3 linked regions of the Cricetulus griseus genome follow. The protein of the gene in region 1 binds, or shares a complex with, the protein of each later gene. Links are inferred from orthologs where the notes say so. Each region holds a gene or a part of one and is shown in the gene's direction. Other genes may lie near its edges.

Region 1 (4,342 bases):
ATGAGTATATAACCACAATGGAATGGGAATATAGCAAGGTATAGGAGCAGGCTTGTTAAGTGACTGAGCAACAAACATGTCCTGGAGAAAATCCTGCACATGAACTAGAAACATAAGGATAGAATTGTTATTGCTCTTTTTTTCTTTGTAAAAGCATAACTCCAAGTTGAGAAAAAAAATCAATAGTGCAAATTATGTGAACAGACCAGGTAATTTGTTTTTAGCACATTCATTTTAAGTTCTATATATCTTCAAGGATGAATTTAAAAACATCAATGAATAAAAGTTCATCCCCACAATGTAACTGCAAATAGTACCACTTAGAAATACATTCTTGGATGCCGGGAGGTGGCTATGAGTGGGAGTACATGAAGCTTTCTGGAGTATGGTGATGTTCCACTTTTCAGCCTGAGTTGTTACGGGGCTTTACTACGAAGCCCACTGTCTTCTGGCTCCAAATGATCCTGTCTAAGCTCTGGGATTACAGGCATTTACCAACCTACCAAGCTTAAAGAAAATGTTTTCTCTCATGCCTCCTGATCTGAGGTCCTAGGCTAGGGGTTTCCTCTAGGACTTCATAATCCTGCATCCTGCTTGGTCCTTTCCTTCCCATAGCTGGAAAATGATGTCCTTGCTCTCAGATCATTTCTCCAGGAATTGGTTCTCACCATTCCATTCTGACTCCTAAGTCTAGCATTTTCACTCTCTTCACTTACTAGAGCAGTGGTTCTCAACCTTCTTGATGCTGTGACCCTTTAGACAGCTCTGGATATTCATGTGGGTGTTTCTGCATGGGCATGAACTCATGTGGAGACTGATAGTGAAGGGACCAGCTTCCCTTTCAGCAGCCATAACAGCCGAACACATGCTTGCCATAACCTTGTCTTGGTCACTTAGAGGTCAGATGCCTGCCTAGTGACAAGGAACCAATCAGAAGTTAGTCACTAGAAAGTCAGATGCCTGCCTCGAGACAAGGAACCAATCAGAAGTTAGCTGGTGGCGCTATACTTTATGACCCAGGGTGTGCTTTATGGATAAGCACTCAGCAATGACGCACAAAGCATAGCAACCACCCTGGGAGGGCCTATGGGCCATAACAACCAGTTGGCCAATCAACACAGGGCAAGCCCTCCAAGGCTGGAGGCACACCAATAGTGAGCCTGTGCATACCCCTAGACACTCCCCTTACGCTGCCCTGTAAGATCTCTTGGGAGACCCTAGGAGCTGTCTTTTGCGAGCCATCTGCCACGGCGGGTGGGTAAAAGACCCGAGCTAACATGGGGTTAGCTTGTTAAATTACAATAAAGCCTCATGCAGTTTGCATCAAGCTCTCGAATCCGCCTGGTGATTGGGGTGACCGAGAATGTGGCCTGGGACCCCGGATACCTGAGTTTTCCGGGGGGTCTAACATTTGGGGGCTCGTCCGCGATTTGCGACCACCCTTCACCTGAATGGATTCGATCTTGGAGGTAAGATGATTCGAGCTCGCAACTTATATGTTCAATGTTATATGTTTGCTTGTTTTTGTTGGTTTGGTGCCACTTGAAATTGCTCTTTTGTTGATCTGAGCCTGCGCAGGACTCGTGATTTGTAATTTGGACTTCAGGGGGAAATAGACATATTTCAAAGTCCCGTCCTGGACAAAAGTCCGAGGGCTATTTGAATTGAACCATAGGGTAAGCAGACGTGCACAGAAATAGACGTATTTCTGGAATCCTTGGTTCCGCCCTGGATGAAGTCCAAGGGTTGTTTGTAATTTTGGTTTGGGGCACCATTTCTTTGCCACAGGGTTTGTCCTGTCTGATGTCCTGTTTTGCTGTTGGTGTCTGTTAAGCCTAGAGGATTGGAATGGGCTGGGTGACTGAACAGTTGAGCAACAGGTTTGTTATCTGTTATCTGATCTGTTGCAGCCCACACCCTAACCGTCTGCTTGTGTGTCAATTTTACTATTTCTGTTAATTTTGTGGATATGGAGGTCCTATGTTGGGGTTTCTGGCGACATCTGTGAGTAGGCCTACAAGAATTGTTTAAGGCGGAAGTTCGGGCGGCAGCCTTCCGAAATCTATAGGGGAGACTTGGTTTCGAACCAAGTTGATCTCCACGGGGCTAGCCATCTGAAATTCCGAATAGGACCCTAGTCTGTGTTAAACATCTCTTTCTGTCCCTACTGCCCATGCACATGGAATGCATGGGTCAGGGGTCTTTTCTTGATGCTCTGAGCACATGATGCCACCTCAACTGTGATCAGCAGATGCGCCCGGAGGACAGACTGCTGCTCTGAGGACACCCAGGAGGTACGAACGGAGGCCAAGGACTTGGATCCTCCTCAGTTAGTGATGATTGTAGCCGCTGGGTTCTGCAGCCCATCTTCCGTCGCCATTGCCTTATAAGCGGCGCGGGCGGATTGGGTTGGCGTCTGTTCTTTCCTGTCTATTCTGTGTTATCATCATTGGTTTTCAATTCAGGATCCACCACACCACCCCCTTTCTATCCCCACCTGCGGGTCTGTGAGGCATGCCAAGTGGGGCTGTTTCTGCCCCAGCTGCCATCCTGCCTGCCAAGGGAGTTTCCCTGCTCTGAGGGAACATGGCTGCAAGGCCCGCCATCTGCCTGGCTGCTCGGCCTTCTCTGTGCTCCACACACATGGTATGCAGGGGGACCGAGGGGGTCTTTATCCCATTATCCCACCCCTGCATTGGCCAAGGGTCTGGGGTTACCACCAACACCCCCACCCCAGGTCTCTGCCTTGAGCACATGGAGCTGGGGCGTATGAACTTATCTGGCCTGATCCGGACTTCTAAAAAAAAAAAAAGGCCTTAAAGTTATTAAAAGTTATTAAAAACTGTAAAAGGGACTTTGATAAAAATTTTTACATTGACTGAGAAATGAGAGAAAATGTAGGAGACTTAAATAATAAAGAGAAAAAGGAAAAAGAAAAATTTGTCTAAGAATGTCTAAGAAAATCAGAGGAAAGAACTATAAAAAGTTATAGAAAGTTAAAGCAAGTCATAGAAGGTCAGAAAAGAGATTATTAAAAGAGAAAAATGTAAACTGTTTGCTATGGTTTCTCATGTCAACAAATAGTAAATTTTAAAAATGGTAATATAAGTTAAAATTTTAACCATATTAAGCTAATTCTGTTTTTAAAAAGTCCTGTTTATTTCTCAAGTAATTTATGTATACTTGTTTTAAAATGTTCTTTTTCCTGGTATAACCTAAGTTCTGTTACAAGCATGTTAAGCAAAGGGTGCAAGTTATGGCCATTTTGTAACCAGCCACATGGCAAACTGGTCACATGGCTGACTGGCAGCCATTTTGCTGAAGTTGAAAAAAGATACTTAAACCGCCATCCTGACTAAAGATGACCGCGTGGAAATTAGAGGTTCCATCTTAGAAACAAGCTTTTCAGTTAAGATTTAAAGTGTTAATGCTTCTATATATTACAGAAAGATATTAAGGGAATTTAAATTTCTTTTTAAAACCAGTTTTTTAAATGTTTATTTTTATTAATGTTTGTACTTAAAGAGCTTCAATTTAAAATTATTTTTAAGCAAAGCCTGACAATGTAAAATTCTTGTTTTATAAAAGCTGCTAATCTATTATAAGATGTTTATCTTTTCAGAAGTTAAGTTTAGGGTGTTGGTGGCACACGCCTTTAATCCCAGCACTCCAGAGGCAGAGGCAGATGGATCTTTTTGAGTTCAAGGCCTGCCTGGTCCAGCATATTGAATTCCAGGACAGGGTCCAAAGCCACAGAAAAACCCTGTCTCATTTGAGCAAGCAGCTAAAATGTGTACTTGTAGCTACTGTTTAAGGACTATAATGTAACCCTATGCAGTCTTAAATTCAGCTGTGCTAAGTTTCAAATATTTTACTAAGTTAAAACCAGTTACAGTCAGGCTGAAAATTAATTACAGAAATGAGACCTCACCTAGCCACCTGTATGTTTCTTGTGTGCTTAAGGTGAAAGACCCCTGCCCCTTAGCCCTTTCTTTCTCAAGTTTGTCTCCTCTTCCTCCTGTCGGCGGCTTCCCCGATCCCCACCCCCGGCGGCTTCCACTTCCCCCGCCACCAGCCGCACGCCCAGCCCGAGAACGAGCACCAGGTGGGCTGGCCCGAGAACGAGCACCAGATGGGCTGGCCCGAGAACGAGCACCAGGTGGGCCGGCACGAGGGCAAACACCAAGTGAGCCGGCCTGGAGCCCGGCCCCTGAGCCCCCGCCCGATGAGAAACACTCCGTCCCAAGGTCTCCGCCCCCAAGGTCAGCCATCTGGACGCGGAGGGAGGGGGAATTGAGTCTGTTGTACCAATGGGAATAGCTCTGTACAATGCCTCATTAGA
Region 2 (4,222 bases), on another chromosome or scaffold:
GAACATCTGAAGAAGGGGGAGAAAGCTATGAGAGTGAGAAGGGAAGAAAAGGAAGGATGCAGAGGTCATGAGGAAAAAGAAATTTTGAGTCAGGTGTAGATTAGAAGAAAGGAGATATGATAGGTAGGATTTTAGTTGGGGGTGGTAGCGGAGGAAGGGAGGGAGAAGGGAACTGGGATCCTCATGTAATTCAATCTTGTTTGTAATTCAAATATATAAAAAAGAAAAAGAACAAAAAATAAAAAAGGGGGATGGAGAGATGGCTCAGAGCTTTAGAGCACTGACTGCTCTTCCAGAGGACTTGAGTTCAATTCCCAGCAACCACATGGTGGTTCACAACCATCTGTAATGAGATCTGATGCCCTATCCTTGTGTGCAAGCAGAACACTGTATACATAGTAAATAAATATTTAGAAAAAAATTAAATTAAAAAATAAAATAAAAAAAGGTAGCGTTGTGGATCCTAGTCTAAATGGCTGTATCTACAGTACAGTTCCACACCCAGTGCTTAGGTGTCTTTGCTGAAGAAGGTAGGGAGGTTGTAGAAGCCACGGGAACAGTTTACTTTGGACAGTGCTCTCCAAATGGAGCCTTGCTTCTTCTTTGAGTCTTCCTGCTAATTTGATTCATATTTAGGTGTACCACAAAGGCCCAAGGCCGATGGGGGGCTTAGCCACGTGAAAAGCATGGCAAGACACCCTCACAGTGATTTAGCAGAAAGAAGAGGGAAGCCAGATTGGAGAGATATGGTGGTTTTGGTTCAGATGTTGCCTTTTGAGATTTGTGGGCTTCTGTGTAGGACTGGGTTCAACAAAGGAAACACACTCCACTAATGCTTCATTCCTTAACTGAAAAACAGCTTCAGAGCATAAGCAATTATCAGGCAGCATTGCAACTGGAAAAGGGCATCCCGATTAAGGCTCAGAAAACCTTAACCAGGCGTGCATGCTTTTTATCGCAGCTCTCCTGAAGCAGAGACTGGGAGATCTCTTAAGAGATCTGAATCAGCCTCTGAGTTTCAAGCCCGTCAGAGCTACAGGGAGAGACACTATCTAAAAACAAAAAAGCCAAAACACACAGCAATAGTAATTTATTAGACCTTGGCCCAGCATTGAAAGCGACTGAAGAGACTGAAAAAAAAAAATCAGGCTATATTGGGCCTCTGCCTTTTTTAGTTCCTAGTATCCAGATCGCTAAAATCAAACTCCTCCCGGTAACAGCGCACACTTCCCAGTGAGAAATGCTCTACCTCTGCGGCCGCTTGTCTGGATTTGGGAACGAGCAGCTGCCCTCTGCTGGTCACACACGTCTAATGCAGCCTCCGGAGATTAAAAAAGTCCCCCCGCCAGGGCCGGTCGCTGGTTGATGATGTCATCGGGCGTCGGAGGCGGGGCGCGGACGCTGGCGTCAGCCGCGCGCCCCGGAAGCACCCAGCGAGCCGCATGGCTGCGGGCTGCGTGGAGTCTCCGCGGCCCAGGGCGGGCTCGGAGCGGCCGGCGGCGGGTCCGGCCGGGGTCGTGCCCTGCCTGGAGCTGCCCAGCTATGCCGCGGCGTGCGCGCTGGTGAGCGGCCGCTACTCGTGCCTGGCGGCCGGCCCGCACCGCAGGCACATCGCCCTGTCGCCGCGCTACCTGAGCCGGAAGCGCACGGGCATCCGCGAGCAGCTGGACGCCGAGCTCCTGCGCTACTCGGAGAGGTGAGGTCCCCGCGCTGCCGCCCTCCGGCGCCCCGCCGCGCCCTGCGCCCCTGGCGGGCCCCGGGATCCCCGCGCTGCGGACGGGCGGCTGCTGCTCGGCCTTCCGAGACGAGGATCCCGGGTCGCCGTCCGCGCCGGGGCCCAGCTCCTTCCTGACAGCAGCGGGAGCGGCTGCGCCCGCCGTGCACACAGCGCTCCCAGTGTGGCGACCCCGAGTGCCCGGGGTCCCGAGACCCAGCGGGCCGAGCTTGCGAAAGCTTCACTTAGCCCCTTCCGGGTGTGTTCTCGTTCGTAGTGCAGTTTTGCTGGCAGTATACCGGTTTCTTTCTGCGTCCTTGGAAGACAGCATATATAAACAAGTCGTTTCCTGGCAAAACCTAGGCGCGTTTGTTGTTTGCTTAGGCTCATCTCCCGAGGTTTTCTTTTCTAGGGCCCAATCGGGGAACGCATGGTGAATATCCCCCTTTGCCTAGTTCTGTTTGTAGGAACCGTTCTTTCGACACAAACAAAATAAAATTAGCATGTTTATATTAAGATGCTCAATTGCAACCTCAAAAACAAAATGTCTCAGAATTACATCTCGGCATTTCAAGCGGAAGTGGTAATGCCTTAGTACTTCATAACAAATTATTGTGGAGGGAGCGAGGTCCTAAGCCTGAGGCGTATGGATTCCCCGAGACATCATTGTCCTTCATTAATTCTGTGAAACTTCGGAGTTGCAGGGATTTCTGTGGTGACTGTTCTTAGGCAAATTATCTAAAGCTGTTACCACTTCTCGAGGATTTGGGCACAACCAACCCCATTACTGTTAAGCCCGCCTAGACTAAGCACTGGTACATCCCGTTATGTCTGTATGCCTTAGGCAGTTGGATAGAAAGACAAATAAAAGTAAAATCCTACTTTCAAAGAGCTTTGAGCTACTGTGGGGATATAAATGTAAGCTAGATCTAGAGAACTGTTAAAACTTGACAGACCTAAAATAAGTTGTATATAGAGAAGTGAAGTTAGATCTTGTAACTTTTGAGAACAACACAATAGGGTGGTAGTTAGATGGTGGCATTCCAACCAGCGAGTGGCATAGACAGATGGACCAGAGCATAGTAAAGTGTATCTGCATTGACGGTTAAGTCAGGTGAAACATTGGATGTCATTGATTCCTCAGTGGAGTTTCAAAGACTGGGAGGTGACTCAGAAGATGGTCATTATTGTTCTTTCCCTTCTGCCTTTGTCTGTCTGTCCCTCTGTCCGTCCCTCCCTCCCCTCCCCCCTTCCTGCCTGCCTGCCTGCCTGCCTGCCTGCCTGTCACTGTCTATTTTACTTTGTTTTTTTGTATTAGACCTATTTGTGTGCATGAGTGTTTTGCCTACTTGTCTGTATATGTACCATGTGCATGCCCGGAGCCCTCAGAAGTGGGTGGTTGTTAACCACCAAGTGGGTACTGGGAATGGAACCTGGGTTCTTTGCAGGAGCAGCAAGTGCTCTTAACTCCTGAGTCATCTGCTTGTGGTTCTTACAGTACAGTTGTTGTTTAATCCACTTATTAGCCTCCAACTGAGACATGGTACTCTCTTGAGAGGAGTAGTGCATGTCTGCAGTCCCTGGGATAGCTGCAATTTAAGAAACAATTTCGAATAGGTGATATTTTAAATAGAGAGAGGCAGTAGACAGAGATCAATTAGCAATTTTTGTGATTATCTAAGGAAAATGATTAGAAGTTTGAAAGATTTAAGAATATACAAGGTGATATTTTAAATAGAGAGAGGCAGTAGACAGAGATCAATTAGCAATTTTTGTGATTATCTAAGGAAAATGATTAGAAGTTTGAAAGATTTAAGAATATACAAGGTGATTATTAAATATGAAAATGCAGGCAATTATGTAGTATTGCCATTGGGGAAAAATTGAAGCAGTTATTATAAACTGATAATTTCTGTAACAGAATTGGATAATGCACCTGTGTAGAATAGAATATACTCTTAAGTTTATCTGGATACCTTCCTTTCTTGAAGGTATGCTTAATGAAACCTTTTTTCTCCCCCAGTACAGATTAAGTTTCAGTATTATTCCAGTATTAAGAGTGTTAATAAAGCAAGGGAGGGTAAAACCATTAAGAATGTTGGGAATTGTATTATAATATTAATTAACTATTTATCCTGTATAGTTTATGTTTTCAGACTTGTCCTCTAGCATTCATAGATCTGTATCCTTTTTAAATTGGGGGAGGGGGAGATTGAGACTCCTCCCGGACTCCCCTTTGCTTAAGTCATCTCACCAGCATTCCCTGCCTGACAGACTTGCCCTTCTTTTCTCAGTGGCAGGATTTTTAAGAAAGGTGTCCCATTTCAACTGTGGACTGTTCTCTTAGAGAAAGTGGTTTTCTAAAATCACATTATGACTTTTAAGTTGAATCTGTAAGAGGCCAGTTGTGGGGAAGTGAAATAAAACAAAGCCCATTCTTTTCCATTTGGCATCCTTGGGTTATTTAAAGATGTCAAATGCACTCTCTCCTAGTAGTTCCAAAGAAGT
Region 3 (3,635 bases), on another chromosome or scaffold:
TGCCTCCTGAGTGCTGGGATTAAAGGTGTTCGACACTACCACCCAGCAATATTTTTTTTAAATGAATCACTTATTGATTCCTTACATTCTTCAAGTACTAAACTAAGGACTGTATGACAAATAAGAGCCCATCTCTTCAGCATTTACAGATATTGTCTCAGAAACCAGCCTTTAAAGCAAGAAGAATAGTCATCAGTACAGAATATTAAGGGAGGTGTCTCATAGTACATTCTTTCCCACCACAGACTTAATTCTTCTTGTGTGGGAGTACAGGTGTTCACATGCCACAGCACACATAGGGAGGTCCTGACTGACCTGTGTGAGACACTGTCTGTTGGCTCTGAGTAGGCTGGCAGGCTACCCCTTGAGCATCTGGGGTTCTGTTGTCTCGGCTTCCCATCTTACTGTGGGAGCTCTTGGATCCTAGATGTGTGCCACCATGCCCAGTTTCACATGGGTTCTGGGGATTCACACCAAGGTCCTCGTGTGTGGATAGCAAGCTCTCTAACACACTGAACCATCTCCAATGGAGATGTGAAATTTTATTACATTGGTTTATCAGTGTGTGTGTGTGTGTGTGTGTGTGTGTGTGTGTGTGTACACCACAATGCATGTGTGGCAGTCAACGGCCAATTCAAGCAAGTTGATTTTCTCCTTCTAATATGTGGATCCAGGAATGGGAACTCCAGTCATCAAACTTGGTGACAAACACCTTTACCTGCTGGCCTTCTCCCAGCCCACCACATTTGATTCTTTTTTTAAAAAAAGATTTATTTTATTTTATGTGTATGGTTCTGTTGTCTGCATGTGTGTCTGTGTACCACAAGCATGCATTGCTCATGGAAGCCAGAAGAGGAGTTGGATCCCTTGGAACCGGAGTTACACATGGTTGTTACCTGTCATATGGATGCTGTCATATGGAACTGAACTTGGGTCCTCTTGCAAGGGCATCAAGTGCTATTAACTGCTGAGTCATCTCTTCACACTCTGGGGTTGTTTAACTCTTGACGAGACACATTTGTGTTTCGTGCAGTTTAAAGCCCTGGCTTGTTCTGGCTAGCACATGCACAACTTTAGTTTTGGGTCCTTGCTGTGTGCCCATCACTATTCTGAACACCTTTCATAAGCACCCATGATTACTTCATATGTACTCTAATTGCTTTTTTTCTTTGTTTTTTTGAGACAGAGTCTCTCTGTGTAGTTCTGGCTGTCCTGGAACTCCATCTGTAGTCCAGGCTGGCCTTGAACTTAAGGAGATTTGCCTACCTCTGCCTCCCTAGTGCTGGGATTAAAGGTGTGTGCCACCACCACCTGGCCACCTGGCTTTTTTTTTTCTCTCCTTGCGTTGAAACTTGGCTGAGTCAGTGACCTGCTGCTGAGCTAACTCAGGCAGGGCCATTGCAGAGCTTGTGTTTTTGCCCGCCAGGTTATGCTGCTCACTCCTTGAGTACTCTGAGGGAAGTTGGGGAGTGAAAACATCCGAATTATGTTCACACCTGCCTTTAGGTCTTTGACTAGAAAAGCAAATCTACTGACAGGAAGAACTGAGGACTTGGTTTCTGTTCCCTCTGGCCTGGCTTGGAAAATGCCTGGGCCAGTCACTGTGTCTGCAGGCCTCATTTTCCCTGTTTATGAAGTAAGAGGTTGGAGCAGAGGACACCCATTACCCAGTTCTCTTACTTGTGCACTGAGGTATACAGTCAGTATTCACAGTGTACATTCATGTTAGGGAAATCCGGAATAAGGAAATCTGTTTTCCTTAGATGAATATTAAATAAATACCAAGCACTATTAATATTTTTAAGGCCTTGCAGAGCTGAGCACAGTTGGCTGCAGTCTCCCCTACTTGTGGGGTTGAGAGCAGGGAATCAGTTGAGCTCACAAGTGTAAGACCTTCTTAGGCAACATAGTGAGACCCCATTAAAAAACAAAACAGTAAAATACTCACTTGTGAACCTCATGGTGTGCTTTCTTCCTGTTCTGTGTTTTTCTGAGTCTCATAGTGTGCTTTCTTCCTGTGTTTCTATAGAAGACGCTATTGAACAGGAGCCTCCTCCAGAGAACCAGGCCAAGACTTTCAGGGAAAAGGTGAGCAGTAGTTAGGGAAGCTCCTTCAGGGCCTGGTCTACCCATCAGTGTCACAGCGCCCTTGAATGTGGGCCTCTCTGGCTGTTCCAGTTCAATTGGTCTGTGGCTCTGCCTGGTTGCTACCTGCAGAGGCCTTCAGGTCTCCCAGAGAGCTGCTGCCCTGGCCAGGTGAACACAGCTAATGTTAGTATTTGCACCCTGTTCTCTGGGCTGATGGAGGTATAGCAGAAAACATCTTAGGTTTTGGTCCACATTGTAGAAAATGGTTGTACCTTGAGACTCATGCAAACAAAGTAAGTTCTTTGAGCTTCTCGGTGTAGATCAAGGATTCTTAGCGAAGTGATCTCACCACAGGGTGGCAGACTGAACCTGCAGTGCTGTTGGACCACTGCAAAGAGAAGACTCCTCTGTGGTTCAGGGAGACTGAGTGGTTTATTAACAGTGTCCTGTTACTGGAGCAAATAGCATATTGGCAGGCTGTGTGCCACAGATTTACCAACCCTAATTCCAGTCAAGTTGTCTTTTTGTACTGATGGAAAACTAACTATAGATTTGTAACTGGGAGTCAGTATTATCAAATCCCAGTTCTGATGTGGAACAGACCTCTGAGGTGGACAGGTATGAGAAGGATTGACAGATGAGGTAATCCTGGCTCAGGGAGCCCAGAGCATGCTTGTGCTTACATACGTGGAACAGTCAGCCTGCCCAGCCTGTCCTTCCTGATTGGATTTGTTTCTTACACAGTTGGATTCTTGCATTGAAGCCTTTGGAAGCACCAAGCAGAAGCGGTCCCTGAACTCCAGGAGAATGAACAAAGTTGGCAGCGAATCTTTGAATCTCACAGTAACTAAAGCTGCAGAGAACATCATTGATACAAAGGGTGTGAACGGTAAGCAGCTGGAGCTTGGGTAAAGAGTATGCCCACAAAGACTTGAGATCTGTCACTCACCTCCATATGCAAGTGGTGGGCTTGAAGGCTGGATTCTTTCTTGCTACTTGCTGAGGGCCTGCTCAGGAATGACTCTGGAACCACGAGAAACTGTGGCCATAGCTTCTCTGATGTTGTGTAGTGATTATTAGCACAAGTCTATTTTTTTTTTAATTTATTTATTTATTATGTGTACAGTGTTCTGTCTACATGTTGCCTGCAGGCCAGAGGAGGGCACCAGATCTCATTATAGATGGTTGTGAGCCACCATGTGGTTGCTGGGAATTGAACTCGGGACCTTTGGAAGAACAAGTAGTGCTTTTAACCACTGAGCCATCTCTCCAGCCCCCAGCACGCGTCTTTTTAACCCTATTCTGAGTTAGTTGAGAGCAAACACACTGTATCCACCTTCTGCATGGCTGGGACTCCTGGAGCATCAGCCTGATGGTCAGTTCAGATCTTGGCAGGTGTTCAGATTTGAGTTTTGGACCATGTGGTCTCCATTGCATAGGGTTCATGGCGTGTGGGGGAGCCTGCAGCCAGACAGGGGGACACTCATATGAATTTCCTTGAATTGAAAGCTCTGGTCAGCGATGCCATGCAGGATGACTTGCAAGAT

Evidence for each region.
Region 2: Polr1h (region 1) and Polr1f share a complex: the UniProt entries of both Homo sapiens proteins name them as parts of the RNA polymerase I (Pol I) complex. The link is inferred for Cricetulus griseus from reciprocal best matches to the Homo sapiens genes POLR1H and POLR1F.
Region 3: Polr1h (region 1) and Polr1e share a complex: the UniProt entries of both Homo sapiens proteins name them as parts of the RNA polymerase I (Pol I) complex. The link is inferred for Cricetulus griseus from reciprocal best matches to the Homo sapiens genes POLR1H and POLR1E.

Annotation. Positions count from the first base shown.
Region 1 is NW_023276806.1:228,752,027-228,756,368, forward strand, and holds the start of Polr1h (DNA-directed RNA polymerase I subunit RPA12), read left to right. Parts: upstream 1-1,426; 5' UTR 1,427-1,469; intron 1,470-4,342. UniProt on the Homo sapiens protein: Core component of RNA polymerase I (Pol I), a DNA-dependent RNA polymerase which synthesizes ribosomal RNA precursors using the four ribonucleoside triphosphates as substrates. Can mediate Pol I proofreading of the nascent RNA transcript.
Region 2 is NW_023277425.1:46,394-50,615, reverse strand, and holds the start of Polr1f (DNA-directed RNA polymerase I subunit RPA43), read left to right. Parts: upstream 1-1,407; 5' UTR 1,408-1,442; coding exon 1,443-1,696; intron 1,697-4,222. UniProt on the Homo sapiens protein: Component of RNA polymerase I (Pol I), a DNA-dependent RNA polymerase which synthesizes ribosomal RNA precursors using the four ribonucleoside triphosphates as substrates.
Region 3 is NC_048595.1:98,426,714-98,430,348, reverse strand, and holds part of Polr1e (DNA-directed RNA polymerase I subunit RPA49), read left to right. Parts: intron 1-2,029; coding exon 2,030-2,088; intron 2,089-2,832; coding exon 2,833-2,977; intron 2,978-3,597; coding exon 3,598-3,635. UniProt on the Homo sapiens protein: Component of RNA polymerase I (Pol I), a DNA-dependent RNA polymerase which synthesizes ribosomal RNA precursors using the four ribonucleoside triphosphates as substrates.